Linked DNA regions of Cricetulus griseus. The protein of the gene in region 1 purifies or fractionates together with the protein of each later gene. This does not show direct contact. Links are inferred from orthologs where the notes say so. Each region holds a gene or a part of one and is shown on either strand. Other genes may lie near its edges. The genes, in order: Polr1c, Polr3g, Polr3c, Polr3e, Crcp, Polr1e and DNA-directed RNA polymerase III subunit RPC10.

Region 1 (3,948 bases):
CTAGACTGTTAACGTTACACAGCCTTTGCCAGATTTCTGTGTGGTTCTCCCTGGAAAACCTACGTCACCTTGGGACACACATGGGTCCACTTTCCCATCTGCTTACCTGATCAGCCACCTGTCGGCTCAGCTGTCCCTTAAAGCCTTTCATGCCCAGAAACTCGCCATCCTCCTCTTCTGCAGCAGCTGCGTCGGCATCCACTTCTTCCTCACGCAGGCGCTGATGCAGCTCCCCCATGTCCTCGAAGCTGGAGCCTGACGTGTCATCCATGTTCTCCATGTCAATCACGGCCGAGCCCCCGCCCTGTGAAGACAAAGGCTGCTAGAGAGCGGGGCCTTCTGTTGCACCCTTCTGCTCTCTGCTCATCGCACGGTTTGAGGCTTTGCTCTCCCACTGATGAGGACATTGGAATTGCTACCCATCGTGCCAAACTCCTCCTTGTCACTGCTGGCACAACTCTTGTCGCCACACTTTTGTGGTTCAGAAAACACACTACTCATCTTCAATTCACGTTGTTTTCCTACCTTCCCCCTCAAAGCTTCGAAGTGCTGCACCGGGGCCGACCTGCCGCCACCCACCTTCAAGCAAGCCTATGTGCACACAGGCCACCTTTAGGGGCTCCAGGGAATCAATCCTACCCTCTAGCCCTGCACCTGCCTGACCCAGACAGGCCGCCCAGCCACGGAGACCCGAGGCCCGCTGCAGCCTCGGCCTGGCCCTTCCTCCTCAGCACAAGCGCTACAGACCTGGGCGTGGGAGACTCAGCGGCCACCACTTGCAATGGAGCCGACTTCCAGGCCGCGAGAGGGGACGGCGGCCAGCCCGGGGGCTGCCGGCAGCCGGGACACCGCTCCATACCTGGATGTTTTCTTCGAAGCCTCCCCACTCCGGGCCAGCTCCGTTTCGGACGCCGCTGGCCGGCGCCGCGGGAGTCGCCATGTCCCTCGAGGCTTTCCGTCGCTGAAGCTCGCGGGCGTGGGACCAGCGTGAGACCCGGGCCGGAGAGAAGGAGGAAACGTCCAGGAAAGAGAGAGGGCGAGGTAGTATCAGCCGGAATGCAAACAGGAGAAACCCGGATGTTTGGCCCCAATTGACGTCCGGAAGTGAAGGACGTGGACGGGGCGGGGCAGGATATCGCGACATTTATAAGTTCAGGAGGCGGGGCGTTGCCAGGGAGACGGCAACGGGCCCCTAGTACGCCTGCGCGCACCGGAGGCGTCTCGAGGCGGGTGGTGGACGATGGCGGCGGCCCAGGCCGTGGAGGAGATGCGGACGCGCGTGGTTCTGGGAGAGTTCGGGGTTCGCAACGTGAGCTCGGAGCGGAACTCGGGAGGGTCGGGGGCGGGATGGGGGAGGAGGAGGGGAGGGGACCTGGCTTGCGGCTTGTCCTCACCGCCCCGCTGAACACATCTGTTGGCTCTAGGTCCACACCACCGACTTCCCCGGTAACTACTCGGGTTACGACGACGCCTGGGACCAGGACCGCTTCGAGAAGGTGGGTGCGCGGGAGGTGTCCCGGCGGCCCGGGGACCAGACGGCTCACGCTCGCCGCGTTCCAAAAACGTGTGCTGAGCCATCCATGTGCTGGGTGCTGGGTGGCCAGGCCGCCCGGGTGGGGTGAAGGCCCACGTGATCAAGGGATCCCGGTGAAACACAAGAGCGGCGAGCACGGCCGGGGTGCGGGAGAGGAATCCCGTAGGTGACTTAATCCGGTCCGTCGGAGAGACGGAGACTCGGGTCAGTGAAGGAAGACTGGCCAACAGTTAGGCCGTGCAGGCCTAATTGGAGCATTGTTGCAAACGCTTGTTTGCGCAGAGCCTGCTCCAGCAGTTCATTATCGCCAGATGTCAATACATTGGCCCGAGTGGTAGACAAGACCGGGGTCTATCTTTTTCTCTTTGAAAATTTATTTGTATTTTATGTACATTGGTGTTTTGTCCGAATCTATGTGAGGGTGTCGGATCCTGTTGTCAGTTACAGTGTTGAGTGCTGGAAATTTAAACTCGCGTCCCTGATTGGGGTGTTATCTTAAGCTCTGCAAGTTAATAGAGAGCTCTGTTGTTTTTTTTTTTTCGAGACAGGGTTTCTCTGGGTATCCCTGGCTGTCATGAAACTAGCCTTTCTGCCTCCTGAGCGCTGAGATTAATAGCATGAGCTACCTCGCCTGGCTTAAAGAGAATTTTTCAGTAGACTGATCTAATTTTGTAACCTTCATAGCTGGGAGGGAATGAATAAATTCCACTGGTAGTGGAAATGGAGCAAAAGGAGAACTAACAGCTATGTACCATATAGCTTTGGTGAGGGGTGTGTGTGTGTGTGTGTGAAAAAGGGCCTTGTGATGTGGGGAATTTAAGGAGTTTTTTTTTTGGGGGGGGGGTTATGTGTTTACCTGCATGTATATTTGTGCATTTGTGTGACTGGTGACCCAGGGAGGTCTAGTTAGGTCCCCAGAACTGGAGTTATGCATGGTTATGAACCACAGTGTGGGTGCTGGGAACCAAACCCAGTTCTTTTTCTTTTTTCTTTTTTTTTCTTCTGTTTTTCGAGACAGGGTTTCTCTGTGGCTTTGGAGGCTGTCCTGGAAGTAGCTCTTGTAGACCAGGCTGGTCTCGAACTCACAGAGATCCTCCTGCCTCTGCCTCCCGAGTGCTGGGATTAAAGGCGTGCGCCACCCAACGCCCGGCCAAACCCAGTTCTTCTGTAAGAGCAGTCAAATGCTCTTAACTGCTGAGCCATCTCGTCAGCTCCATTAGGGAAGTGTCTTGATGGCTGATTGTGTCAGTTGATAAACAGGAGAAAAAGAGTGATAATATGTTCAAATTCCTGTATGTGAAGTCTGTAGGTCAAGTGAATGATGCCTGAAGTGAGATCAAAATGAACCCAAGTTTGGGGAGTTGCTGAGTAGTTGCTTAAGCCAGGAGTGTGATTGAGGTCAGCCAAGAGATTTGAACCTGGGAGAAAGTAACATTTACAGGGTGAGAGGAAGAATTTAGAATATCAGATAAGAGAACTAAATTGGTGTTCAAAAGTCAAGGGAGTAGAATTTGAAAAAAGAGGGATTGAAAAATAAAAACAAATGCAGGACTAACTTGTCTAAGCAGTGTGGGACGTTCTGCTCTTCAGTGTAGCAGCTTCTGTGGGTTGTTTTTGTGGAGCCATATTGCCTAGGGTCTTTTTTGGGGAGAGGGCGGGGGTTGAGACAGGATGTAGCTTTGGAGCCTATCCTGGCACTCCATCTGTAGACAAGGCTGGCCTGGAACTCACAGAGATCTGCCTGTGTCCCCCTCCCCCCCACGCGCGCGCGCCCAGTGCTGGGATTAAAGGTGTGCACCACCAATGCCCGGCTTTGCTTAGGGTCTTAGTGATGTACACCTTTGATCCTAGTCCATAGAAGATAGGTAAGTATTCCTGTGAGTTCGAGGCCATTGTGGTTTACATAGATAGTTCCAGAAATGCTAGGGCAAGGTAGGGAGACCCCCCCTTATTTTTTAATTTAAAAAAGAAAGAAAACCAGCCAGGCTTCTTACAAAACTCAAGAACAGGGCTGAAGACAAAAGTCTAGTGATCATCTGGTCACAGGAAGGCTTTAGGATGAGAGAGGGTGGACATACATGGAGGGACATTGCCAGGGTGGGAGTAATCACAGAGGGAGGCTTGAATTACACAAGAGAAACAGGTGTTCCATCAGTTTTTTCTCTATCCCTCTAGAATTTCCGTGTGGATGTTGTTCATATGGATGAAAATACACTGGAGTTCGACATGGTGGGAATTGATGCTGCCATTGCTAATGCTTTCCGGAGAATTCTGTTAGCTGAGGTAAAAGAAGACGTGTGGGTCTCTTATTTCCAGGTAGGGAGATCAGTTGGTGTTGCAGTTGGATGATTCTGCTTTTTTGAACAGGTGCCAACAATGGCAGTGGAAAAGGTTCTGGTTTATAATAACACATC
Region 2 (4,241 bases), on another chromosome or scaffold:
GTGGATGAAATGGCTGGAGCCACAGCTCTCCAGTTTTCTAACCCTACAGGTGGGACTCATAGTCACTCCGCGGTGAGCACGCAGATGAAGCAGCAGTTCTCAAAGCACAGAGCATAACACTTTTCTCAAGGTGCCATTCCTTAAAAGCCTACTCGTTACAAAAGCTGGAAATGTTCGACTCATGCTAGGGGAAGAAAGGAAAACCCCAGTCACAAGTCTCTGCAGTGTTACTACTGTAGCCGACACAAGGAATTGATTGGGGGTGGTGCCAGCTTTTTAGAGACAGCCACACAGTTGCAGAGCGCTTCTCTGGGCAGAGAAGGCTGCCAGGGCCTTGGCTCTGCTCAAACCGGCTTTCACGCAGCAAAGGGTGAGACACACTGTACCCCAACAATGCCAAGGTGGCCATGGAGGTCTGCAACATGCTGCACACGCTCCCCAAACCCCTCCCTCCACGACAGCGCACGCCCGCGGGGGCCCATTACCATCCTGCAGAATGAGGGTCGGCTGCACTGCCTGCACTCGGAACTGCCTGGCCCTCCAGCCAGGGCTGGGGGCTCGCACCACCTCGCTGTCAGAGAGCCAGGTCACGGTCTCAAAGTTGTCCCCTCGAGCCAGGGCCTCGGCCTCAGCGCGGTGCACAGCCACCTGGTCGAACTGGTAGAGCCCGCCGGAGTGATCGAAGTGCACGTGAGTGGCCACAGCCAGCAGTGGCCGGCGCCCGGCATCCTCCTTAGCCCCGCAGTCCTGCAAGAGGCCGGAGGAGTAGAGGTACTCCGGGAGGCTGCGCAGCCCCAGGCCCGTGTCGATCACCACGTCTTGCTCGGAGCCGCGCACCAGCCAGATGTTGGCGCGGTTGCCTGACTCGTAGAAGCGCTCTTGAATCCAGAAGATGCCATCGCCCAGAGACTTGTGGGCGTACCACTCAAGCGCGGACATGCTGCTGCGCAGGGGTGCGGCCGGGAGAGGTGGGTGTGCCTCCCAGGGGCAGTCCGGACCCAGAGCTGCCGCAGTGTGCGGCGTACTCCACTCAGCCCCGGAGGAGGCGCGAAAGAGGGGCGGGGATGCGGAAGGGAGCGCGGATAGGCCGCGGTGACGCTGCCCAGATCTCCTGCTCCCGGTCCGCACAGCGCAAAGGCTGCACCCCAGGCTGCCGCAGCTTCTGCAGCCGCAGCACCGTGGCAGTAACGCAGGCCGCTGCAGCAGGGCGGAGATATGGGGCGACACTGCCCTGCTCGGGGGTTCTGCTGCAGAGGCTAGGGATGATGCGTGGGAAGCGCCAGGACCGCCCCCGCACGGGCAGCAGGCGCAGCTCACTCACCGCTGGAGCCCAGAGTGAGGCCGAGCCAGTTGGAAGCAGACTACGGCGCCTGCCAAGGGCTAAAAAGCTCGGTGCCGGGGGCGTGGCCTCGCCGGCAGTGGGCGGGGCTCCTAGTGGGCTAGCTGAGCGCGGTGGCCGCGTGCAGGACAGTGATCGCTGCTGGGGAGGTGGAATCCGCGGCTCCTGGCTGGTGCGGCTGCAGGGACCCCGGCCACCTCGGCTGAACAAAGTGCACAAGCCTCGAGACGTTGTGAGCAGGTAACAGGAAGCTGTTCCGAATTGGGTTGGAGTTGAAGAGGGTAGAAGGGAGTTGATGGGGCACGTGGAGAACGTGGTGGACCCGCATCGGGAGCCAAAATTCATCAGACCTTTGGAGTGACTTGGGAGGTAGCCTTACCTCTTCAAAGCCTAATGCTGCCTTCCAAATCCTTTGACGTCTTGGTAGTTAGATCTTCCAGCCCCCTCCTGGGAGTGTTCTTAGTGAGATAGAAGGGAGTTTATGCTCTTGCTGATACTACAGAAGACTTAGCCAATCCGGAGATCCTACAGTTCGTTCACGCACTGGTTTGGCGACAGATTGCTGCTATGGGCATACCATTCCGCTTCTGATTTCTTTACTCTTGGCACCCTGGATTGTGGGGAGAGGAGTTGCTAATAGGATTTTTCTTTAAACAATTCTAAATTTCCGTCATGTTTTGTTCGGTTCTCTGCTCGTTGAGAAAGTTTCCAGAGCTTAACTAAAGAAAGGCGGGGCACTTTGAGGGGGACAGGAAAAGTGGATAATGACTGGGTGTGGCCTACCCAGCCACTAAAATCACCCCCACTGTTAACATCAAATCCCTGTGCTCTCACCCCAAGCCCTAGCTATTGCTGTATCTATTTAGGATTCAGAAATGCCCTTGAGAAGTTGACTAACCGTCAAAAATTAGAGACCCACGGGATAGCATTATAAAGGATAATTAGGAAAATGCTTACTGCAGCATCTCCTAATAGACTTTCCTGGAGGGAGAGGTGTATTCTTCCTCTATTCCTAAAGTCTCTGGTGGGAGTTCGAGCAGGTTACTGCCCCTGTGAGTATTTTGCTAATCTCATCTAAGTACAAGTTATTCAATTATGCAATTGGGATCATTCTTAGCACTAAATGATGTGTGATGAACACAAAACTATATTTTTTTTAAAAAAAAAAGTCTGATTTGAGTTCTCAAGAATCTGAGGAAGCTAATGCCTGTACACAAATACTTGTAATACAAGACAACATGAATTAAAAAATTGGATGCTATGTGGGTAAAAAGGGAGAGACTGCTGAGTGATTGCACTGCCCTCTGTACTTGATGTTTTCCCTGCAGAAGGGAGCCATGGCTCCAAGGTAAAATGGCTCATTATCATTTCTTGGTCATGAGCTCAGCAATAATTTGCCGAGAATTATTTGGCTTGTGCCAGGCTACAGTTCACAGTGGTTCTCTTTTTCTGCTTTTCAGCCTGACTCTGCTTCTCATCGTTGTTAGATTTACGCCCAGGTATTGCTGAGTGAGGCAGGACTTCTTCAGCTGGTGTTTCTGGGCTGTTCCCTGCTTTTATTACACATCACCTCCCAGTCTCTGGCGTTTCTCTAAAGTAGACTTTGCCTGTTTCCCATACATGACTGTGAACTCCATCTGAGCACAGGTGTTATTTTGTTCCCTTCTGTATTTCCAACACAGAGGATGATTTGACACAGAGGGTACTCAATGAAGACTCCAGTGGGTGATGGAAGACCCTCCCTGGGGAGACACACAGGAACCAACAGTTACTTGGTGAGAGGCAGAAGTTATGTGTCCTACATTTGTTTGAAAGATGCGAATGGCACATTGTAAACACTTGCCCTCTGTTAAAATGACTACAGAGGGAACTGAAACTCGGAACCTGAACATAAGTCTAGTCTGTTTTTGGAGGATCAGATGGAGATGATAGAAGGCCTGAGCGAAAGCAGAAATAAAGGAAGGGAGCGGCAAAGAACACCCAGCTAGAAGTCTTCTGCTAGGTGACCAGAGTGGAGTGAGTCAGGCCCTTGACTAAAACAAGTTGCAAGTCATTCATAACTGTGGCCTGATTTCCAGGCCTCCCCTGGCTTCCAGCAACTCAGACATTTGTCTAGTTAAATGTGTAAGGTTTTAATGTGTACGACGTGAGGACAGTATATGTAAGTCACAATCATAACTCTTGATAGTTTAGATCTGGGGAGAACTGCTGAGATTATCTCATGCTCTCCCAGGAGATTGTAGTTAGAGTTGAATAATGCCCATTTTCAGACATCCAGGAACAACCTCTGAATAGCAGTTTCGAGGTGGCATCCTGAGGTGGAAGGGACGGTGTTGCTTTGTTGATAATTGTATTTTAAAATTCAGATTTTGAGAGGGCTGGAAAAATGGCTTAGCAGTGACAAGCTCATGCTACTCTTGTTGAGGATCTGAGTTCAGTTCCTAGCTTCCACACCAAGTGGCTCACAACCACCAGTAACTCCAGCTCTAGGAGATCTGACATCATATTCTGACCCCCACAGGCACCTACATTCAAGTACACATACTCACAAACATTACAAATAAAATCTTAAAATTCAGAACTTTTTGCAGTTACTAATTTCCCTCACTGATTCTGCATCATTGGGATTAAAAAGGGTTGTCAACTAGTTTAGACAGGTGCTTCCCAAAAGAAAATATAGATAGAACATTGAAAGTATTTCCTGAGGCCCAATCTATACCTGCCTTTGATAGGAATTAAGACTATCAGATAACATTTCAGAACCTTTTAACTCTTCTATAAAATGGGAGATTTAATTTACTCTGATTCTTAGTTCAGCCAAGGCTGCATAGTGAGACCTTGGAGAGAGACAGACAGACAGGCAGACAGAGACACACAGAGAGATCACATATAATAAATATGG
Region 3 (3,500 bases), about 200 Mb from region 1:
TGGGAGTATGTGTGCTATAGCATGGGTGTGGAGGTCAGAGGACAACTTCAGGGGTCAATCCTCGAATTCTATCTTGGCTTGAGTCAGGGTATCTTTGCTTCTTTATATAGCAGGATAGCTGGCCTGTGAGCTTCTGGAAACTCTAGGTCTTGTCTCCTACCTCGCCTTAGGAACACCTAGATTATAGTTGTCTGCTACCACAACTAGCTCTAAGTAGGTTCTAGGGACTAGAACTTAGTTCCTCATGCTTGTGCAGCAATTGCTTTACCCACTGAATTACTGCCCCAGCTCTTAGCCATAATTTTGAGATTTACTTATTTATTTTTCAAAGATAGGGACTCCTTAAGTAGTAGGCTAGCCTTGAATTTGCAGCAATCCTCCTGTGTCAGCCTCTTTAGTGCTGGGATTACAAGGCATGCACCACCACAACTGGCTTATGTTCTTTAGCATCTTTATAGGGGTGCTGATAGGGTATTATAACAGTTCAGGCTTAAATGCATCTTTCTAAACTTAATGCCTCACCACTAGTCCTCATAGGTCTATGTGTTCCCGCCATACTGAAAATCTTGAACTTTATCTAGGTTCTCTCTTTTCATTTGTTTGATGTTTTTTTTTTTTTTTCTGTTTTTTTTTGAGGAGGGGGAGGGGCAAGGATAACCTAGAACTTCTGATTCTCTTGCCTGTACCTTCTGAGTGCTGGGATTATAGTTGTGCACCACCACTTATGGTTTGTTTGAGATAGGGTCTCACTATGTAGCTCTGGCTGTCCTGGAACTCACTATGTAGACCAGATTGGCCTCTGACTCACAAAGATCTGTTAGTCTCTGCCTTCTAAGCGTTTCGATTAAAGACATGGGTTATCACACTGGGTATTACTTCTGGTTTTATTTGGTACTGGGGAATCAAACCCAAGGCCTCATGCATGCCAGGCAAGCTATCTACCAACTGGGCTACACCCCTGGCCAAAGTCTCTCTTTCTCTCTCTCTTTTCAAGACAGAGTTTCTCTGTGTAGCCTTGGCTGTCCTGGGACTTGCTCTGTAGACTAGGTTGGCCTTGAATTCATAGAGATCTGCCTGCCTCTGCGTACCCAGTGCTGGGGCTAAAGGGATGCAAAAACACACCCAGCTCTACTCCCTCCTTTGTATAAATCAGTACCATTATTCAGTGAAACAACTTAAGCCTCAGAAGGGAATGAAACATTCCTTCTACAAAGCCCCTCCCCTCTCAGGAGTTCTCAATGCTCCTTAGTAAAAAGAGGGCCTGTGAGAAGAGGGCAGAGATGGTGTGGTAGCATTGTTTCCATTGGTCTATTCCTGACGAACACTTACTGAAGTTCATAATCCTACTTCTTCTTAGTCAGGAGCACTGAGGTTCTGTTGGAACTTGTTATCTGAGGGCGATCCCTGGACTGCTAATCAGGAAGCCCCATTACCTCTTTGTTATCTGTGTGTTTTGGTTTCTTGGCCTTGGGCTCTCCAGAAGCATCTTCGTCAGATGATCTCCTCCTCTTACCTTTTCCTGACAAATAAAATATTGAACAACTAGACTATATATCATATGATGACAGGAAATAAAGCCCAAATACATTTGTAGCTGCCTCAAGTTAAGAGTTGGTTAGGAGACTGAGGATATCATCTAAAATTCAGTATGTTTAAAAAAATCCAGTCATGAAGTTGAGTTCCAGGACAGCTGGAGCTACATAGTGAGAACCTTACTTGGAAAAAAAAAAAAACAGAACAAAACAAATAAAAACCCACCACAAAAACAAAAAAGCCAACCAAAAGAAAAGAAAATTCTGGGGCTGGAGAGACAGATGGCTCAGTGGTTAAGAGCACTGGCTGCTCTTCCAGAGGACCCAGGCTCAATTCCCAGCACCCACATAGCAGCTCATAATTGTCTGTAACCTCTGTTTCGGGGGATCAGACACCCTCACACAGACATACATGCAAGTAAAACACCAATGCACATAAAATAAAAATAAATTATATATATATATATATAAAAAAAGAAAATCCATAGTCTTTGATCTCAAACTGCTTCTCCTCCTATGCTTCCTTTCAGTGAATGGTACCATCGTGCTCCCATGGGTGCAAATCAGACACACAGATGTCACTCTTGACACTTATCTTCTTACTGCTCCTATATCTACTTTTTCACTAGTCTGTCTCTATTTACCTTTGCCCTGTCCTTTCAGCCTTTATTAGACAATTTACAATGTAAATCAGATCATGTCATTTCCTGCTTAAAACCAGAGTAGTCTCCCTTTGCTCTTAGGTTAAAGACCAGGCATTCTACACGGCCTTGTTTACCTCGTCCCTCCACTCTCTAGCCTTTTCTCAAGCTTCTCTGAACTTTGCTCACCTTGCTTCTACACTGACCTTTCACTTTCTCCAATGCTCTTATTTCTTCTTATTATTACACACTAGTTTTAAAAATACCCATCTTCTATCGCCTTACTGGTAGGTCCTACTTCTTCATCAAGATCCAGATCAAGTTGGGTGGTGGTGGCGCACGCCTTTAATCCTAGCACTCAGGAGGCAGAGGCAGGCTGTGAGTTCGAAGCCAGCCTGGTCTAGAGAGATACACAGAGAAGCCCTATACCCTGTCTTGAAGGAAAAAAAAAAAAAAAAAAAGATCCAGATCAAATTGGACTTTCTCAGAAAAACATAAGCTGTTACCCATTGCACAAACCCATTCCTCCATACCTGGCTTCTCCATAGTTCTTATCACAGTATGTGACATATCTATGTGACTGCTATCTTGGGAATGGATCATGAGTTTTCCATTATTATGTACTACAACGACTTTCTCCATAGTCCTTAACACAAGTGTGTGACATACCTATATGACTGGTATCTTCTGGGAAGGGATCATGGGTTTTCACATTATTACGTACTACAATAACTGGCACACACCAAGTAACTGGTAAACAATCAGGTATTCATTCACCTAACAATCAGTGAAGAAGAATCCAGAATTAGGGCAAATGGTAGTTCCAGGATGAAAATTCCTTACCTATCAAGCTCAGTTTAGGAACTAGGTACATGTCCTTTTCATTAATGACAAGGGTTGGGGCAGGTGGTGGTGGCCCAGGGTCAGAATCGCCAGTGGCAGGAACCAGGGGACAGCGCTGTACGAAGTGAGTATCTGCCAGTCGCACAAATGCATTTGATACCTCAGCATAGTCCATGGTCTTGCCATCTGTATAACAGGGGGAGAGAGGCAGGTGAGATGGCCTAAGAAGATGGAGAAGCCAGCCAATCTGTGCTTTTTCTAAGAGCTGTAGATCCAGTACTGACCCTCCATGGTCTCTGTGAGTCGATCTGCTACTTTCTTCACAACAGCTGACATTGTCATTTTGCCATTCAACAGGAGCTCTTCAACAATCAGCTCTCCAGTGTCACTGTACAGCGTTTTGGTAGTATAGATGTACCGAGGATACCTAAGCATTCGCAATACCCGGCTACACTGGGCTTCATACTCCACAACACTGCGTTTA
Region 4 (3,991 bases), on another chromosome or scaffold:
ATGTGCAAAAGTATATGCAGGAATGAGTTTAATTCTAGGTGGTGGGAATATGGGTGACTTTTTTCACTGTGTCTTTTTCAGTCTTTTAACGTATGGGGCTGGTTTCAGCGAGTAAAGACACTTGCCTGCAAGGCAGACAATCTAAGCCGCCCCCACATGGTGGGAAGAGAGAATATACTCCAGCAAGTCTGTACTCTGACCTCCACAACATGCCGCCCCTATAAACAAATAAATAAAATAAATGTAAAAGCCTGTATGTGTACATCAACATGCATAGATACTTACAAATGGTAAAAACAAAAGAAAAATGAAAAGCCTGGTGAAAAAACTAGCCAGCTCTCTATGCGTTAGTATGTTAATAAATATTTATATACCAACCCATACACAATATGAACAAAACTGTTTTTCCATGGAGATACACATCCATAGAAACCGACAGCGAAAGATCCGAAAGGATGTATAATCAGCCGATAATGGTGGTTACGAGGAAACTAAAGCAAGTCAAAGGTTAAAGAATTATTATGTTGAATATTACGAAGATTATATGCGAAGTTTTAATATTGTTTGCGTACTAAAAATTTAAACACGTGACTTTTCAGACAGAACTGTGCAGATGTGGGGTCATGGTTCGCTTCTCAGAGCTGGGGTGAGAGTTACTGCCAGGATCAGTCTCCAAGACACCTAATTCGGGTTGTGTAGGTGACGGCGTGGTTTAACTGGACGCGTTAACCATCAGAACGCGATTTAAACTGCTTTTTGCTTTAAAGCTTATTTGGAACAAGCTCGGATATAAATAATTTAATTTTAATAGTTGGCGTTTTAACAATATTGTTTGTGACAATTTCTATCAGGAGTAGATAAAACACAAATACAACCCCCGAAAAATTATAAGAAACAAACAAAAAAAATGTATGCATGTGTTAGAACATTAAGTAGCTTCTTAGAAGGCCAGATGAGCAGCTGGGTAGCGTGGCCGAGCGGTCTAAGGCGCTGGATTAAGGCTCCAGTCTCTTCGGGGGCGTGGGTTCGAATCCCACCGCTGCCAGGATCAGTGTTTTTTCCTACCTTAACCCTGAGCTACTTTTTGCCGCCCCAGCGGCGACCTCTGCAGTTGGTTCTCGTTCTCTGCACCACGAGTAGCTCGCCGAAGGGGCGGGCCCGCGCGCTCTGGGGCGGGGCATTGTGGGTAAGAGGAAGCGCGAGGGCCGGCCCCGCTCCCCCCACGTGTCCGCCGGAGTTTCTCCAGCAGCAACATGGCCGCTGCCTAATAGGAGACCCGGCCGCCACCGTCTCTGCAGCCCGCGGGTCCCTGGGCCGTTGCCGCCGCTCGCGCGCGGCCCTGGCTGAGAGGTGAGTGCCGACTCGGCAGCCCCGGGGTTCCGGCCGCAGCCGTCGCACTCGCGCGGAGGTCTGGGCCTCTCTGCGGAGTAGGCCGGAGAGGCCCGCGCCGCTGCGTGCTGAGGGGCCGCGGCCTCCCGGGACCCGGGCGGGGCGCACGGGCAGCCGCCTCGCTTTCCCGGTCGCTCCGCACGGCTGGACGTCGGGGAGGCGACGACCGTGGGGCCCGCGCTGACTCAGGCCTCGGCCGCGCTGCCCCGCCCGGGCCTGGCTCCGGAGCCGCACCTGCGAGAGCACTGGTGCCCGGTAGCTTGCGGCTCTCGGAGGTGTGGGAAGGGCGCCTGAGCACCGGCGACATGGAGAAAGCTATGGGACGTCAGGGCCGCCCGCATGGGCCGGGGTCTGCGTCCTAGCTGAACCGGGTCAACCCTTGCTGGTGGTGCCGGGCCCGGGGCGCCTCATTGATTGATCTGTGCTTAAGCAGAGTCAAAAGGCGACTGCTCCTCAGACCCTGGGACTCTTCAGTCACGGGGGGTGGCGGTGCTTAAACCAGGTCGTCCTGCAGTTGTAATTGCCTTTAGGGTTTCTGGGTTTCGGAGCGAAAAGGTATCTGCGAAATGGGGATAACGTGATTCCTGTTACAAGAGGGTAAGATGGGTGACATCTCCTGCTTTTCATTTGTGGCTGTCTTCGTTTCATCCTATTTGAAGAAAACATGTTGCCACGTAGCAACAGTCATTCATTCATGGATGTTCCACTTTTCTCTTTGAAGCCGGTGCTTTTTTTTTTTTTTTATTGCCGGCTTAGGGATGAAAATAGGAAAGGACCCAAGGTTATGCAATTCATGCTTTCTGTCAGCTGGTACGTTGCGCAGAGGTGGGATTTGAACCTGTAAGGTTTCGCACGGGAGTCCGACCTCTTACCCACTACACCATACTGCCTTTTATCAAAGATGTGTGCAGCATAGTGGTTAAGAATAAAATCAAGACTCATTGACACCTGCTAGACGGATTTCTTGATTATACTGTTCCCTGGGGCTGTGCCCTTGGGCAAATCATAAGTTGGGCACTATAAATTTTGAATTGCACAGCTAATGAGAATGAATATTTTTGGTAGTATATTGATGCCAGACAGCATTAGGGTTTAGGAGAAGGGCTGTGAATTTTTTTTTTTTTAATTTTACAAGTAATGACCCTATAACAACGGTGAAGTATAATTATTATGTCTACTTGATGGTTGAGGAATATGAAGCATAGAGAAGCCTTCGTAGAGTTCAAAGTCTAGTGCAGAGGATAGCCAACACCTGAGCAGCAAATAGAGAAGTTCCAGGTTAGGACCACTCAGGAAATAAGGGATTGTGTTAATGGTGGAAAGAGTTGGAGGCAGCTATTCAAATTGGGTTTTCACTAAACCTGTCTAGTCCTGGAGGGAGGGGCAATGCTTACATTTAAGGAAAATGAGCATCCTGAAAATGACCTGGGATTCTTGTGCAGAGGTCCTCGGGATGCGTGGGGATTGGCCTGTTGGAGGCTCAGTGATAGATTACCAGTCCCTGAGGAGATGGTTATGTGGAACCTGGCAAGATCGTGTAAGGGCTTACAGGCCCATGAAAGGGAGTTTGGGTTTTGTTTTATGGTACAGTTGAAGGGTTTCAAGAAGAGAGCAATGTGAGTAGTTACTACAGAGACGGGAGGTCCTCTGGAGAGATAGGAAAGAATGGCCCTACGAAAGCTTTTTTTTTTTTTTTTTTTTTTTTAGCTTTTTTTGTTTGTTTTGTGTCTATTATTATTATTATTTTTTTTTTTCAGATGAGGCCTTGCTATATAATAGCCTAGGATGCCCTTAAATTTCTCTCCTAAGCCTTAAATTTCCTCCCTAAGCCTCCCTAGGGCTGGTATCGCAGGCCTGGGCCACCACAGCTGACTCAGGAGGCTTATTGGATTGTTGACTTTGAAGATTGCAGGTTAAGACTTAGTGAGCTGGGCCGTGGTGATATACGCCTTAAATCCCAGCACTTGGGAGGCAGAGGCAGGAGGATCTCTGTGAGTTCAAGGCCAGCCAGAGCTGTTACAGAACTCTTGTCTCAGAAAATAAAAAAACACCACCAAAAAATGTATTAGTGAGTGATGTAAACTTGGCCTGGGGGTCTTGCCACCAGCATTTTTATTTTGCATAGGCAAGGATAGAAAATAGAAAACATCACTGTGTGGCATGTAACAATCATATTACATGAAGTACTGTTTCAGCTGTGGCATTCCATGTATCTTCTGCATCATTGTTGGGAAAAGATTATTGTCAGTCATAGGCTGAAACTTTGAAAGCCACTGAATTGGCTCCTGTTGGTTGGGAGGCTAACAAGAGGTGATGACCTTTGCAGGTAACCCAATCAGGTGTGGTGCCCAGAGGGAGGAGCCTCTGTCATCCTGCAGAGAGGGCACCTGATCCTGCCTGATTCCAAGACTGGCAGAATCTCAGCCGTGAAAGAATAACTAGAGCTGAAGACTCTCTTAGGCCACAGCCTCTTTTTGCATGTGCTGTGTTTCATTGATTCCCCCTGAAGTCCTGTCTCAGTTGGCCACAAAGTACAGCTGCCTAAAGGGCAGGTACTTGTTTGACCCATATCTGTGACACTTGGCAGCCAGTGCAGATGCAC
Region 5 (3,965 bases), on another chromosome or scaffold:
TTTTTTCTTTTTGGTTTTTCAAGACAGGGTTTCTCTGTGTAGCTTTGGAGCCTATCCTGGCACTCCCTCTGGAGATCAGGCTGGCTTCGAACTCACAGAGATCCACCTGCCTCTGCCTCCTGAGTGCTGGGATTAAAGGCATGCGCCACCAACCCCCTTTCTTCTTTTTTCAAAGTTTTATTTTATTTTTTTGGTTTTTCGAGACAAGGTTTCTCTGTGTAGCTTTGGAGCCTATCCTGGTACTCGCTCTGTAGACCAGGCCGGCCTCGAACTCACAGTGATCCACCTGCCTCTGCCTCCTGAGTGCTGGGATTTAAGGCATGTGCCACCAGCACCCAGCCAAAGATTTATTTTATGTGTATCTGTGAGTGTCTGTGTGTATGTATATACTTCACATGTGTGCCTGGCGGGGGCTATATAAAAGGCCTTGGATCCTCTGGAATTGGAGTTACAGGTTGTTGTGAGCCACCACGTTGGTGCTGGGAATCAATTCCTGATCCTTTGCTAGAAATGGAAGTACTCTTAACTGCTATGCCATCTCTCCAGGTGTCTCTCTTTCTCTCTCCCTCCCTCTCCCTTTCTCTCTGTTTCTTGTGTGGCCTAGGTTGTCTCACAAAAATGTGCTAGCCTCTACCTTCCCTTTTTTCCCTTGCTGGAATTAGAGGCGTGCGCCACCATGCCTGGCTGGCTTCTGGGGGTTTTGGTTGGTTGATTGGTATGTGTGTGTGTGCCTGTGCGTTTTTTTTAAACAAGATTTTATTTATTTATTATGTATACAACATTCTGCTTCCATATATATCTGCACATCAGAAGAGGGCACCAGATCTCATAACGGATGGTTGTGGGCCACCATGTGGTTGCTGGGAATTGAACTCAGGACCTTTGGAAGAGCAGCCAAAGGTGCTCTTAACCTCTGAGCCATCTCTCCAGCCCTGTTTTTTGTTTTTTTACACAGTGGTCTGCAATAGCCCAAGATAGCTTGAAACCCACTCTGTAGCACAGGCTAGCCAGGAACTCGTGGCAATCCCCCTGCTTCAATCTCTCTAGTGCTGAGATATCAGCTGCGAACTGACTGGCTTGGAGATTTTTAAAGCGTCCAAGACAGGAACCTTATCTTATTAAAACCCTAACAAAACCTAGACCATAAAAAAGTTTAAATTTTGCCTCCAGAGGCTGAAATTCGAAATCCGTACGACGCAAGGAGCCCGGCGTTCCCTACAGCGATCCCGGCATGCAACACGGCGTCCCAGAGTGGCTTGCGGCGCACACGCAGGCCGAGAGCTCCGCGGCGGTGGCACGACGGGAGGCCGTTCCCTTCCAGCGGCTGCGCAGGACGAAGCGGCTGCGACATGGAAGTGTAAGCCGCATGTCCGAGGGCAACCCGACTCATCTGGGGGCCGGAGACGGCTGGTGGTCGACCCTCCGCACCCGCTACCAGGGCGGGAGGGCGGAGTGGACGGGCCGGAAGTATCTGGAGGTGGGGCGGCTGGGGAGGGATCCTGCTGGTCCCGCAACCCACGTTCTTTGAGGGAGGGGAGTGTAGGAGCAATGAGTTTTGTTTGCTTGTTTGTTTTTCCTCCTGGTTCTGGGTATGAAACTCAAGACCTTGCACGCGCTCCGCAGTCGTCTGCCCCCCCCCCCATCATCATCATTTTGTAATGCTGGAGTTGGTACCCAGGGCTTCTCACATGCCAGGCAAAGGCTGCAACCCTAGCCGTTACCACCGTCGTTATTTGTGATACTGATACCCAGGGCTGTGAACATACAAAGGTGTGCTAGTTTCCTTTCTGTTGTGTGAAAAACACCATGACCAAACAAGGAACTTCGGGGTAGAAGTTTATTACATCTTTTGGTTTTTTGGAGACAGGGTTTCTCTGTGTATCTCTGGCTGTCTTGGCACTCGCTCTGTAGACCAGGCTAGCTTCGAACTCTCAGAGATCCATCTGCCTTTGCCTCCCTGAGTGCTGGGATTAAAGGCGTGCACGACTACCGCCTGACAGGGTTTATTTATTACATCTTACACTTCAGGACACAGTTCATCATTGAGGGAAGTCAGGGCAGGAACTCAAGGCAGAAACCTGAACAGAACCCGTTCAAAAATTCTGCTATCGGTTTACTCTCAGGCTTTTTTTTTTTTTTTAAGATTTTATTTTATTTATTATGTATACAACATTCTGCTTCCATGTATATCAGCGCACCAGATCTCATAAGGGATGGTTGTGAGCCACCATGTGGTTGCTGGGAATTGAACTCAGGACCTCTGGAAAAAGTCAGTGCTCTTAACCATTGAGCCATCTCTCCAGCCCACTCTCTGGCTTTTTACAACAACAACAACTCCTCATTTTCTTTTCTTTTCTTTTCTCTTCTTTTCTTTGTTTTTCTCTTGAGACAGGGTTTCTCTGTGGCTTTGGAGGCTGTCCTGGAACTAGCTCTTGTAGACCACAGAGATCCGCCTGCCTCTGCCTTCCAGTGTACTGTTAATTGTTTTGTGGTGCTGGGGATGGACACTAGGGTGCTAGGCAAGTGCTTTAGCACTAAGCCACGTGCCCATCATCATATAGTGGTGTTTGGAATGGTAGCATCCTGAGCATTCTAGGCAGTTACTCTCCCACCAGCAAAGCCATCTTGACAGTTTTTTCTCCATACTGTTTTTTTTCTTCTTTTTTTTTGTTTTTTTTTTTCTTTTTTGATGTGCAAATGTAAGTTTTTGCATCTATTCTACCTGTGGACTTTATATATCCCTGGATGACATACCTAAATTGTGGGGTTTTTTTTTTTTTTGTGGGGGTGGTTTGAGACAGGGTTTCTCTGTGTATCTTTGGAGCCTATCCTGGCACTCGCTCTGGAGACCAGGCTGGCCTCGAACTCACAGAGATCCGTCTGCCTCTGCCTCCCCCCCCCCCAGTGCTGGGATTAAAGGTGTGTGCCACCGACGCCCAGCTCTAAATTGTGTTATCATTCATTGTTCTTTACCTTCTGTTCACTTGTAATATATACTACAGTTTGTCAGACTTTTTAATACAGAGTCATAAGTAGCTCAGACAGGCTTTGATCTTGGTATTCAGCAGAGGATGATCTTAAGTTCTATGTCTCCACCTCTCAAGCTGCCACATCAGATTAGTATTTGTATGGGGGGGGTCTCACTGTGTAGCTCAGGCTGTCTGGTTCAGCTTTCTCCATCTGAGTAGCTATTGTCAGACACCCTGGCAATGCTCAGCTCTCTGACATGGCCCTGAATTTCCCTCTCCATCCTACTGCTGGGAGTTCTTTTGTTACTCCTCTTCCCTTGCTGGTCTCAATGTTATTGAGCATCTTAGTGCTTCATCTTCTTGGGACACTTTCTGTTCCCATTCTTGGTATACATTCATTTATATGATGGTGGTTCCTCAAAATGTTTCTTTTTTTCTTTTTTTGTCCCTCATTTTCTGTCAAATTGTTTAAAACAAAATCTAGCATATTCCCTACCAGTCATCAGACAGTCCTTTTCTTGTTTTCCAGCACCCCCCACCCCTTGTAGTAGGGTCTCATGTACCCAAGGCTTAGCTTAACCTTGAACTTACTACCCATTCAAGGGTGGCCTTGAGCTTCTGATCCTCCTGCTTTTACTTTGCCATTGCTGAGTTTACTGGTGTATTACACCATACCCTGTTTATGCAGTGCTGGGGATGGGGCCAGGGTTTTATTCGTCTTAGGAGTGTTGTAATTTAAGAAAAGCGGTGCACGAGAGAAAGATGCCATGCACAGGGTTCAAGCAGAGGGGTTTTTTATAGGGGAAAGGGAAGGAGGAGATTGGCTTCCGAGACAGGGGCAGCAGTTGAGAGGAGAAAGGAAAGGGATAAAAAGGAAAGAGGGAGAGAGAGAAGAATGGGGGAGGGGGAAACAGACAGAGAGGGAGGGAAAGAAAGAGAGAAAGGATGGGAGGTAGGCAGGGCCCTTTTAAAAGGGAACACAGTGAATATGTACAG
Region 6 (4,207 bases), on another chromosome or scaffold:
AAATCCTGTCTCAACCCCCCCCCCCCCCCGCCCCGCCCCACAAAAGGTTATATATCCATATACCTTTTCAAATTAAAAAGAAAAAAGAAAAATGAGAACACTCGGCAAGAAGGCATCCTATTATGGTTGAGGATAAGCTGTGTTTGCCAAATAGACACCAAGTTCTGAGTTCACACCCCTTTACCATATAAACCTCTCACCATACACAGCACTCTCAAGTTGATGGCAGGAGGACCAGAAATCCAACGTCATCTTCAGCTACCCAGAAAATTCAAGGGTCTACATGAGACCTTCTCTCAAAAAGGTATATGTGGAGGAAGCCATTTAGAAAAAAATTACAAATGCCTTCTAGAAAACAAAAATGAACTAATCCAACAAACCCAAACGATGTATTTAACTGAATATTCATTTAACAGAGTATTCATTTCCGGAACCTACCAGCAAACAGTGGCTGCATGTTGAACAACTCAGCATCATATACTTCCATCTGCCCAGAGGTCTTATTCAGAATTCCCACAAAGTGTCTGAGGAAAAAAGTAATGATACAATAGTAGTTTAACCAAAAGGTTATTATTTACACAATCCTCTCTTTTTCCTATTCACATATCCCTAGCTTCTTTCTGCCAGAAAAAGGCATCCACTTGCTCACATGTAACAATAATCCCTGCACGGAGAGGAAACAGTAGGTGATGAAGAGGAAGGAGACATAAAATGGTTGTGGACTGAAAAAGCCACCAGATGGTTCTGATAACCAATCACATTTAAAGTCCCAGCACTTGGGAGGCAGAGGCAGGAGGATCTCTTGAGTTCGAGACCAGCCAGGTCTACAAGAGCTAGTTCCAGACAGCCTCCAAAGCCACAGAGAAACCCTGTCTCAGAAAACAAAACAAAACAAAACAAAACAAAACAAATTTAAAGCCACTGCTGTTAATGGAAACCCTTTTGAGGTAATAAGAATCTAAAATTAAACAGAATTTTGGCATGCATAAATTCTTCAGGCTGGATGATGCTGTGACACAGAAGACACCAGAGGTGAGCGAAGAGCAAAGTTGCCAAAGTCATTCACTCTGACAGTGCTGGAGGGCTGCTTTGTTCCAACCCAGAGGCCTTGAAGATACAAAATCCTCTTGTCCCAAGGCAAACTTGAGGCAAGCTTTGACCTGATGATCACACATTCTAAATCAGCAGACATAGCTGTCTTTTGGGATAGGACAGTCATACATAATGTCATAATGAGGTCTTTAGGAACTCGACAAACGCAAGCCATCTTTTCCTTTCTAAGGGTGTCTACACAACAGTATATGGAATTTGTGAGTCTAGAAACACAAAGTCTTAGCAAACCTGCAGATCTCAACTACCTCCAAAATGAAGACTGAAGATAGTGTTGTCTCTGTCACTACTACAACCCTCCTAGCACCTTTGTCACTGCCCAGTTGTCCATTACCTGCAAAGAGTGTTGCATTTGAGGGCGCCAGTCCCAAAATTGTTTCCAACATAGGACAGCCTGTCTGTTTCTGCTGCCTGAAAAACAAAGGAGTGTCCAATTTACAATCAGCACTGGGCATGGCCTCCTTTTGACGTGTATAGAAGTCTTAGAATCCAGGACCAAAATGACCAGCCCTAGATATTCTCCAGGTGACCTACCCCATCATATCTACAGGAATCTAGGGTGTCTCTGGGGGACCCCAAATACCATAAGGAAGCTTCAAAGTGATAAAGTTCTGGGGGGGGGCGCCACCTGGGATTGCATGAAATTAAAAAGCTTCAAACTGGGCGGTGGTGGCCCACACCCTTAATCCCAGCACTGTGGAGGCAGGGGCAGGCGGATCTCTGAATTGGAGGTCAGCCAGCTATGTCTACTCAGTGAGTTCCAGTATAGCTAGAGCTACACGGAGAAATCCTTTTTCCCAAATATGTGAAAAGTCATCGTTTCACCCAAAATCTTGCACCTTGGTGAAGCCACAGTCCCATTTGCTTTCCTCCTTTTCTCCCCTCAGGCCCTCCCATATCTGCCCACACCAAGGGCCTTCTGAGCCCTGCAGAGCCCAGACTACCTGTACCTGCAGCCCTTACCAGGATCCGCTGATTCTTCAGCCTGGGGTTTACCAAGTCGTTGCTGTTGTACAAGGTGAAGCGCATGTTGCCTGGATTCTGCAGCTTCCCATTGGAGAATTGGACTGTAAGTGTAACCCAAGAATGAGATGAGGGCAAGACCAGCAGAGTGGGGTGGCTTAGAACTACACTGTGGTTGGGAACCCAGGGCGAAGGCAAGAGAGCTCATGTCCCACTTTTAGGGAGACTGAAGGAAGTCCTGGTCCAGTACTAAAAAAAAGGAGATGGGGAGGGGGTGGCCTCTGTGCAGAAAATGACGGAGGGAATGTCATTAACTAGCAGAAGAAAGGGAACTCTGCTCCGTGGAGGGGAAAATGGGCGAATGAGAGACCTGGTGAAATCTCCAAGTCCTGGGCACTGCCCTGAGAAGTGTCCTCGCATGTGAAGTCACGACAGAGGAAAGGGAGGATAGCGGAGGCTCTGTCCCAGCTCCAGGCAGTGGGCAGGAGGGCTACGCGGTACCCAGATAGAAGGGGATAGGGCTGAGCGAAACTCCGCTCCGGTCCCGCAGTCTTTACCCAGCACAGCTTTCTGCCTGTCGTCAGGCTCCCCACAGTACAGCCACCTTGCACTCTGTTGCACCTCTGTCTCCATGTCTCTACTCTGGCTGTCCAGCCCGGAAGACTCCAGTGTAGCCATGAGCTCTCCGGCTCACACGCGGACGCATACACCGGAAGTGACACTCTGAGACCTGCCCAGAACACGCAAAACGCGAAACCACGCCTCTAGCGTGGTGGAGCTTCGTCCCGGACCACTCTTGGCTCTTTCCGCGGTGGCCACGCCCCTGGTAGGAGGGCCTCTTCGAGGTGCAGTACCTGATTGGCTTAGTGCTCCCGCTTACGCCCTAAGGTTTAGCCAAACGCCGAAACACAGCGTCTTCAGCCTCGGTTTCGCGTGGAGCTGCCTCTGACTTATCATCATCTAGGTAGAGGACTGTCTTTCTTCTCACCTTTCCAAGACCTGATAAGGCCAAGTTGAAATTTAGAATACTCAGGCCGTGCGTTGGTGGAGGCACTCGGGAGGCAGAGGCAGGAGGCTCTGTGGGTTTGAGGCCAGCCTGGTCTCCAGAGCGAGTGCCAGGATAGGCGTGTTCCCTGAGGCTGGAGAGATGGCTCAGTGGTTAAGAGCACTTGTTGCTCTCCCTCGGGTTCAGTTCCCAACAATCTTGTTAGGCAGGGCAGCTCCAGCTCAGGTAACTGGAGATCCTATTTCCTTTTCTGGCCTCCTTGTCACCTGAACACACATGGTCTCCACAAGCACATTCACACACACACACACACACACACACACACACACACACACACACACACTCACACACTATGCTTTGCTTTTAGCTGTCACAACTCTGACACACACACACACACACACACACACTATGCTTTGCTTTTAGCTGTCACAACTCTGACTGGAAGGTTACTTTCTTTGATCCTACCCAAGTGTTTTCAATTGATTGTTTTCAGAAAGGAAAAGGAAAGAGATGAAAGAGGGCTTCATTCTCTAATTATTCATCAGCTTCTTCTGTCAGTCTTTTCCACACTAAGCTTATTGGAACTTAATAACTAATTTTGGAGCTAATTAGAAACACATTTCATTTTAAATTATTTATTTAGTTAGTTAGATAGTTAGTTAGTTGCTAGCTAGTTCCCAAGAAGTAGTGTGTAGTAAAACAAAACTGCTCATTTGGTGGCCAAGTATGAAGGGGAAAGGGGCTGAGGTCCCTTATTCTCTTTAGGCTCAGTCTGTCTTCAAATTCCCACCTGAGGGTGACTATCAACTCCTCATCCTTCTGCCCGGTGCTGAGATTATAGACATGTACCACGCCAGCCAGTACATTTATTTCTTTCCTTTAACTTCTGCACCTCCAACTCCTGGGAGGTCCTGTGCAAATGGAGATTTTCAATAAATGTTCAATGAGAATGCTGGCAAGATAGCTCAGTGGATAAAGACACTTGCCATCAAGCTTGATGGTCTTCCCAGGACCCACCTAGTGGAAGAAGAGAGCTTACACAGTGTGTACAGGTGTATGTAAATGTAAAACAAATGAATATTGAACAAATGAGTGAAAAGCTAGGTGATAGGTGGGAATATTCATGAA
Region 7 (4,243 bases), on another chromosome or scaffold:
CAGTTCCCCTCCTTCCTCTCTTCCCGCTCCTCCCACCTCCCATCCACCACTCCTTGGTTCAGAAAGCCGCGAACTTCCCATGGGCGTCAACAAAGCATGATATATTAAGTTGAGGCAGGACCAAGCTTCTCTCCCTGCATCAAGGCTGGGTGAGGCATCCCAGCATCGGGAACAGGTTCCAAAAAGCCAGCTCATGCGCCAGGGACAGGTCCTGATCCCACTACTAGGGGCTTCACAAACAGGGCAAGCTAAACAACTGTCACCCACATGCAGTGGGCCTAAATCGGTCTGATGCAGGCTCCCTAGCTCCCACTATCTCAGGTCAGCTGTTTCTGGGTTCCCCAAGTTACGATCTTGACTCCCTCTTACTCGTACAATTCCTCCTCCCTGACTGTGGATCTCTGCATCTGCTTCCATCAGTTACTGGATGAATGCTCTCTGGTGACAATTAGCGCAGTCACCAATTACAGGAGAAGGCCAAGTGCTCTTAAGCTGAACCATTTAGCCCCTTCGTAGTGCTTTCCTATTTCACGCATGACCTTCGGCTTAGTGGTGGCACCGCCCACAACGGGCTGCGTCCACTTCTATCAATTTGCATTCAAGAAAATGCCCCATTGAGTTACCTACTTATAAGTCTGATAGAGACATTTTCCCAATTGGGATTCCTCTTCTAGATAACTAACTTGTTAAAGTTAATAAAACAAAACAAAAACAAAAAACCCACAGGAGTCACCCCAACCCCTCCCTGTGTAGGTTATAGAATTCTTGCAGAGGATTAAGGAGGTAAGACATTTAAAAGAGGTCTGAGAAGGCAGAACTGGGAAACGTAAAGGAGTCTATAGGAATGAGACAAAAGAACCAGATGGAGGTCTGTGGAGAGGAACTGCTGGTATTGTAGGTCAGAGTTGATCTGTAGAATTGAATCTAGTGAAATGGCATAAGTGAAATAAGTGAAATGGCAGAACTGGGACCAGGTGAAGAAATGGTCAGATTGGAAAGATGGTAAGTACAGATAGACAGGTATTCATACGTTAGGCAGACAGCAGCAGAGAGGTAGTATCAACACTAGGGGCTGAATTAAAGTCCCTGGGACATTAGGTTAGTCTCTGCCTGTCAGTCCCGGCTCAGAAGATGCGAAGCAGCCGGTCCTGCGCCACTGTGACAAGACCTTCCTGAACACGTCCATGGCTCGGAGTGCGGCACTGTCTTCTCATCACCTGTACCTCCCTCCGAACCTTATTCCCGGGTAGGTCAGGCGTGTCAGCTGCCAGCCCCATCTCTCGGGCCATTTAAGCCTGTGCTTGCGTCAGGGAGATCCGTGCGCACGCGCAGGCATTACAGGAAAGCTGGGAAGGCAGACAGCGCACTATTGGAGGGTGGGAAGGACTATCTGCGTTGACCAATGGCATGTGAGAGCTGCCTGCCGCAGTGCCTTCTGGGTACGTGCCAGTGGCCGCTTCTATTGGGCGTCTGCGGCCGCGGAAGCTTTAGACAGTAAGAGCTTACTTGTTGGATCTGCAGCAATGTTGCTTTTCTGTCCGAGCTGTGGAAACGGACTAATTGTGGAGGAGGGACAGCGTTGCCATCGTTTCGCCTGCAACACTTGCCCCTACGTGCATAATATCACACGCAAGGTGAGTCCCAGAGGCGAGCGCCTCCTCCACTGTCGGTGCGCTCAGACTTCCTGCGGGCGGTAGTTTTTTTTTTTGCTCACCTGTGGAAGTACCTCAAGTTCAGTAGTTGGTAATCCAGTGGCATCGCTCCGGCCAAATCGAAGCCACTCTTCTGGTCACTTCAGAGATTTCTGCCTCTGGCTCTCTGCTGCCGGTTTTGTGACACCCAAAAGGTTGCGAGATTTCCGTTTTACCTCTAGGCTGAACCACGCCTTTAAAACCTACAGCTGTCCTCCGCACGCCAGGCTCCAATACGCTTATCACCTTCTCTGATCTCAAATCTTAATGTTCTTTTTGTGGCTCTTCTTGCTCCCAGATCCTGTCGCTATTCTGGAGGATCTTACCTCCAAAAGTGCACGCAGTACTGTTAGCTCCTTCACGTTCCTTTCGCCCGAGTTTTCTTTCCCAACGAGCCATTTGGCGCTCTCTCTCTCTCTCTCTCTCTCTCTCTCTCTCTCTCTCTCTCTCTCTCTCTCTCTCTCTCTCCTCCCTCCCTCCCTCCCTCGGTGTGGGTATGTCTGTCTGTTTCTCTCTTCCTTTTCCTTTATCTCTCTCCCTCTCCCTCTCCCTTTTGGCTGTTGGTACATGCCTATAATTCCATCACGTGGAGAGGCTGTGGCAGGAGATTAAGTTCAAGGCTCACCTGGGCTGCATAGCATATGTATATGAAAATTAAGTAAACGAAGAAACCAAACCCAGCTCTTCCAGTTTATTCTCATTCCTTTTTCTTTTCCCAGGATTCATCGTCTTCTAATATATGTCATTGTTGCTGCTTTGTGTGTGTGGTGCTTGTGTTGGAACCCAGAGAAGCTGCTTTTACAGCCCTTTGTATTGTCTACCTTTCCATTCTTGTTCCTCCTTAACTCAGTGTCCTGAGTTCTGTGATTTCAGATGTGTATCATCAGGCCTTGGTGATACCTCATTTTTAATGTTTGCACTTAAGAGCTGTATGGTAGGAGTTTGGAGTCTGGATATGTGATAAGATTGAATGGTGACATAATTTTTGAAAATTGAAGGATGACTAAAGCAACGAAATGTGTCCCTGGGAATGCTGGGATACCCAGATAAATGGTGCTATTAGGCTTTTGTCTGTCTTTCATGTTGGGTTATTAGGGGTATGAGAGAAGAGCATGGTTTAACTCAGCTGTCTTCCTGCACTGTCTGCTGTTTCCTCCAGTTTCTAGGGGTCTCTGACATTGAAACTGTGCTGTTTTGGGAATATCTCAGTCACAAAACCCCTACATTTTAATGGCTCTTGTCGCTCTTTGAAGAAGATAAATTTTGTATCCATTTACTGAGTAGAGGAAATGCTGGAGGAAAGTTATAGTTTGGTGGCCTGCTTTTAAAACTATATGATTTCTTAAAATCTGATGACTTGTTTTTGTTAGGTAACAAACCGAAAGTATCCAAAGCTGAAAGAAGTGGATGATGTGCTTGGTGGAGCAGCTGCCTGGGAGAATGTGGACTCTACTGCAGGTGAGAATTTTCCCATTACAGAGCCAGTGACTCAACCCTATTTATTATTACTTATTATTATACTTAATAATAATAAATTTATTGTTATTTATTATAATGCAACCCTGTATATTGTTAGGACCAGTAAGATGGCTCAGCAGGTAAAAGCACTTGTTTCCAAACCTGTTAACCTGAGTTTGATACTTGGAGCCCAGATAGTATAAGGAGACAGCTGATTCATGAAAAGTTGTTTACCAACTCCCACCCCCTCAACCAGTAGTTATAAAAGAATTTAAGAAAATATAAACAATAATGACAAATAGCTTGTGTTTGCCAATACAGGAAATATTTTGATATGTTGTAGTCACAATATAGTCATTCTTTAAACTCTAAGCAAGGCATTAAGACCTTTTTGTTTGTTTGATTTTGTGTTTTGAGACAGGGTTTCTCTGTGTAGCCCTGGGTGTCCTGGAACTCTCTCTGTAGACCATGCTGGCCTCGAACTCAGAGATCCATTTGCCTGCCTGCCATGTGATAGGTTTAAAGGCATGTGCACCACCACCTGGCCATATTAAATTTTTTTAAAGCAGATTTCTTTCAAGGATTAAATATACTGAAAGGAAAATCACCATATTGATACCTGCTCTGTTGTTTCATTTAGATTCTCAGGACAGATATGGGCAAGTATAAGTAAAAATCTGGTACATATTCTCTTCTTGAAACAAATTTGGGGTTTATTACAAAAAAGTTTCAATGTTGATTTAAACTTAAATATTGATGGTTGTTGAGAGGAGGCGAGAGGTGTAAAAGGACAGTTGTCCATGCTCTAGTGGGTACAGGCTTCTCAAGAGAATTCTGTTGTATGTATTTTCAAATACCAATATTGTAAAAATGATTAGCCCTAGTCTTTTTTTATTTTTAAAAATGTTTATTAAATTAAAAACAATAAAAAAATCTTATTTTACATACCAATCCCAATTCCCTCTCCATCCTGTCCTTCATTCCCCCCCCCATCTCCTCATTCCATCCCCTATCTCAAAATAAAACAAAAGCCTCTACTCATTTTCCACTTTCAAGGCTTTTGCTTATTTTTGAGATAGAATCTTGCTGTGTAG

The links.
Region 2: the proteins of Polr1c (region 1) and Polr3g purify together in Homo sapiens (affinity purification with mass spectrometry; 4 studies listed by BioGRID and IntAct, counting the BioPlex papers as one, with this or other methods). This does not show direct contact. The link is inferred for Cricetulus griseus from reciprocal best matches to the Homo sapiens genes POLR1C and POLR3G.
Region 3: the proteins of Polr1c (region 1) and Polr3c purify together in Homo sapiens (affinity purification with mass spectrometry; 5 studies listed by BioGRID and IntAct, counting the BioPlex papers as one, with this or other methods). This does not show direct contact. The link is inferred for Cricetulus griseus from reciprocal best matches to the Homo sapiens genes POLR1C and POLR3C.
Region 4: the proteins of Polr1c (region 1) and Polr3e purify together in Homo sapiens (affinity purification with mass spectrometry; 5 studies listed by BioGRID and IntAct, counting the BioPlex papers as one, with this or other methods). This does not show direct contact. The link is inferred for Cricetulus griseus from reciprocal best matches to the Homo sapiens genes POLR1C and POLR3E.
Region 5: the proteins of Polr1c (region 1) and Crcp purify together in Homo sapiens (affinity purification with mass spectrometry; 5 studies listed by BioGRID and IntAct, counting the BioPlex papers as one, with this or other methods). This does not show direct contact. The link is inferred for Cricetulus griseus from reciprocal best matches to the Homo sapiens genes POLR1C and CRCP.
Region 6: the proteins of Polr1c (region 1) and Polr1e purify together in Homo sapiens (affinity purification with mass spectrometry; 5 studies listed by BioGRID and IntAct, counting the BioPlex papers as one, with this or other methods). This does not show direct contact. The link is inferred for Cricetulus griseus from reciprocal best matches to the Homo sapiens genes POLR1C and POLR1E.
Region 7: the proteins of Polr1c (region 1) and DNA-directed RNA polymerase III subunit RPC10 purify together in Homo sapiens (affinity purification with mass spectrometry; 4 studies listed by BioGRID and IntAct, counting the BioPlex papers as one, with this or other methods). This does not show direct contact. The link is inferred for Cricetulus griseus from reciprocal best matches to the Homo sapiens genes POLR1C and POLR3K.

Annotation. Positions count from the first base shown.
Region 1 is NW_023276806.1:255,712,608-255,716,555, reverse strand, and holds the start of Polr1c (DNA-directed RNA polymerases I and III subunit RPAC1), read left to right. Parts: upstream 1-1,148; 5' UTR 1,149-1,240; coding exon 1,241-1,309; intron 1,310-1,424; coding exon 1,425-1,496; intron 1,497-3,709; coding exon 3,710-3,817; intron 3,818-3,901; coding exon 3,902-3,948. Other genes in the region: protein YIPF3, read right to left, coding at 107-304, 860-940. UniProt on the Homo sapiens protein: DNA-dependent RNA polymerase catalyzes the transcription of DNA into RNA using the four ribonucleoside triphosphates as substrates.
Region 2 is NC_048595.1:302,159,060-302,163,300, reverse strand, and holds the start of Polr3g (DNA-directed RNA polymerase III subunit RPC7), read left to right. Parts: upstream 1-1,441; 5' UTR 1,442-1,579; intron 1,580-3,021; exon of another isoform or gene 3,022-3,114; intron 3,115-4,241. Other genes in the region: Mblac2 (metallo-beta-lactamase domain-containing protein 2), read right to left, coding at 486-939. UniProt on the Homo sapiens protein: DNA-dependent RNA polymerase catalyzes the transcription of DNA into RNA using the four ribonucleoside triphosphates as substrates.
Region 3 is NW_023276806.1:59,774,902-59,778,401, reverse strand, and holds part of Polr3c (DNA-directed RNA polymerase III subunit RPC3), read right to left. Parts: coding exon 3,301-3,500; intron 3,203-3,300; coding exon 3,017-3,202; intron 1,520-3,016; coding exon 1,434-1,519; intron 1-1,433. UniProt on the Homo sapiens protein: DNA-dependent RNA polymerase catalyzes the transcription of DNA into RNA using the four ribonucleoside triphosphates as substrates.
Region 4 is NC_048596.1:79,735,656-79,739,646, reverse strand, and holds the start of Polr3e (DNA-directed RNA polymerase III subunit RPC5), read left to right. Parts: upstream 1-1,191; 5' UTR 1,192-1,350; intron 1,351-3,991. UniProt on the Homo sapiens protein: DNA-dependent RNA polymerase catalyzes the transcription of DNA into RNA using the four ribonucleoside triphosphates as substrates.
Region 5 is NC_048597.1:109,299,946-109,303,910, forward strand, and holds the start of Crcp (DNA-directed RNA polymerase III subunit RPC9), read left to right. Parts: upstream 1-1,165; 5' UTR 1,166-1,349; coding exon 1,350-1,357; intron 1,358-3,965. UniProt on the Homo sapiens protein: DNA-dependent RNA polymerase catalyzes the transcription of DNA into RNA using the four ribonucleoside triphosphates as substrates.
Region 6 is NC_048595.1:98,430,430-98,434,636, forward strand, and holds the start of Polr1e (DNA-directed RNA polymerase I subunit RPA49), read right to left. Parts: upstream 2,801-4,207; 5' UTR 2,752-2,800; coding exon 2,631-2,751; intron 2,178-2,630; coding exon 2,074-2,177; intron 1,522-2,073; coding exon 1,445-1,521; intron 525-1,444; coding exon 439-524; intron 1-438. UniProt on the Homo sapiens protein: Component of RNA polymerase I (Pol I), a DNA-dependent RNA polymerase which synthesizes ribosomal RNA precursors using the four ribonucleoside triphosphates as substrates.
Region 7 is NC_048599.1:60,488-64,730, reverse strand, and holds the start of DNA-directed RNA polymerase III subunit RPC10, read left to right. Parts: upstream 1-1,443; 5' UTR 1,444-1,523; coding exon 1,524-1,634; intron 1,635-3,061; coding exon 3,062-3,149; intron 3,150-4,243. UniProt on the Homo sapiens protein: Core component of RNA polymerase III (Pol III) which synthesizes small non-coding RNAs using the four ribonucleoside triphosphates as substrates. Can mediate Pol I proofreading of the nascent RNA transcript.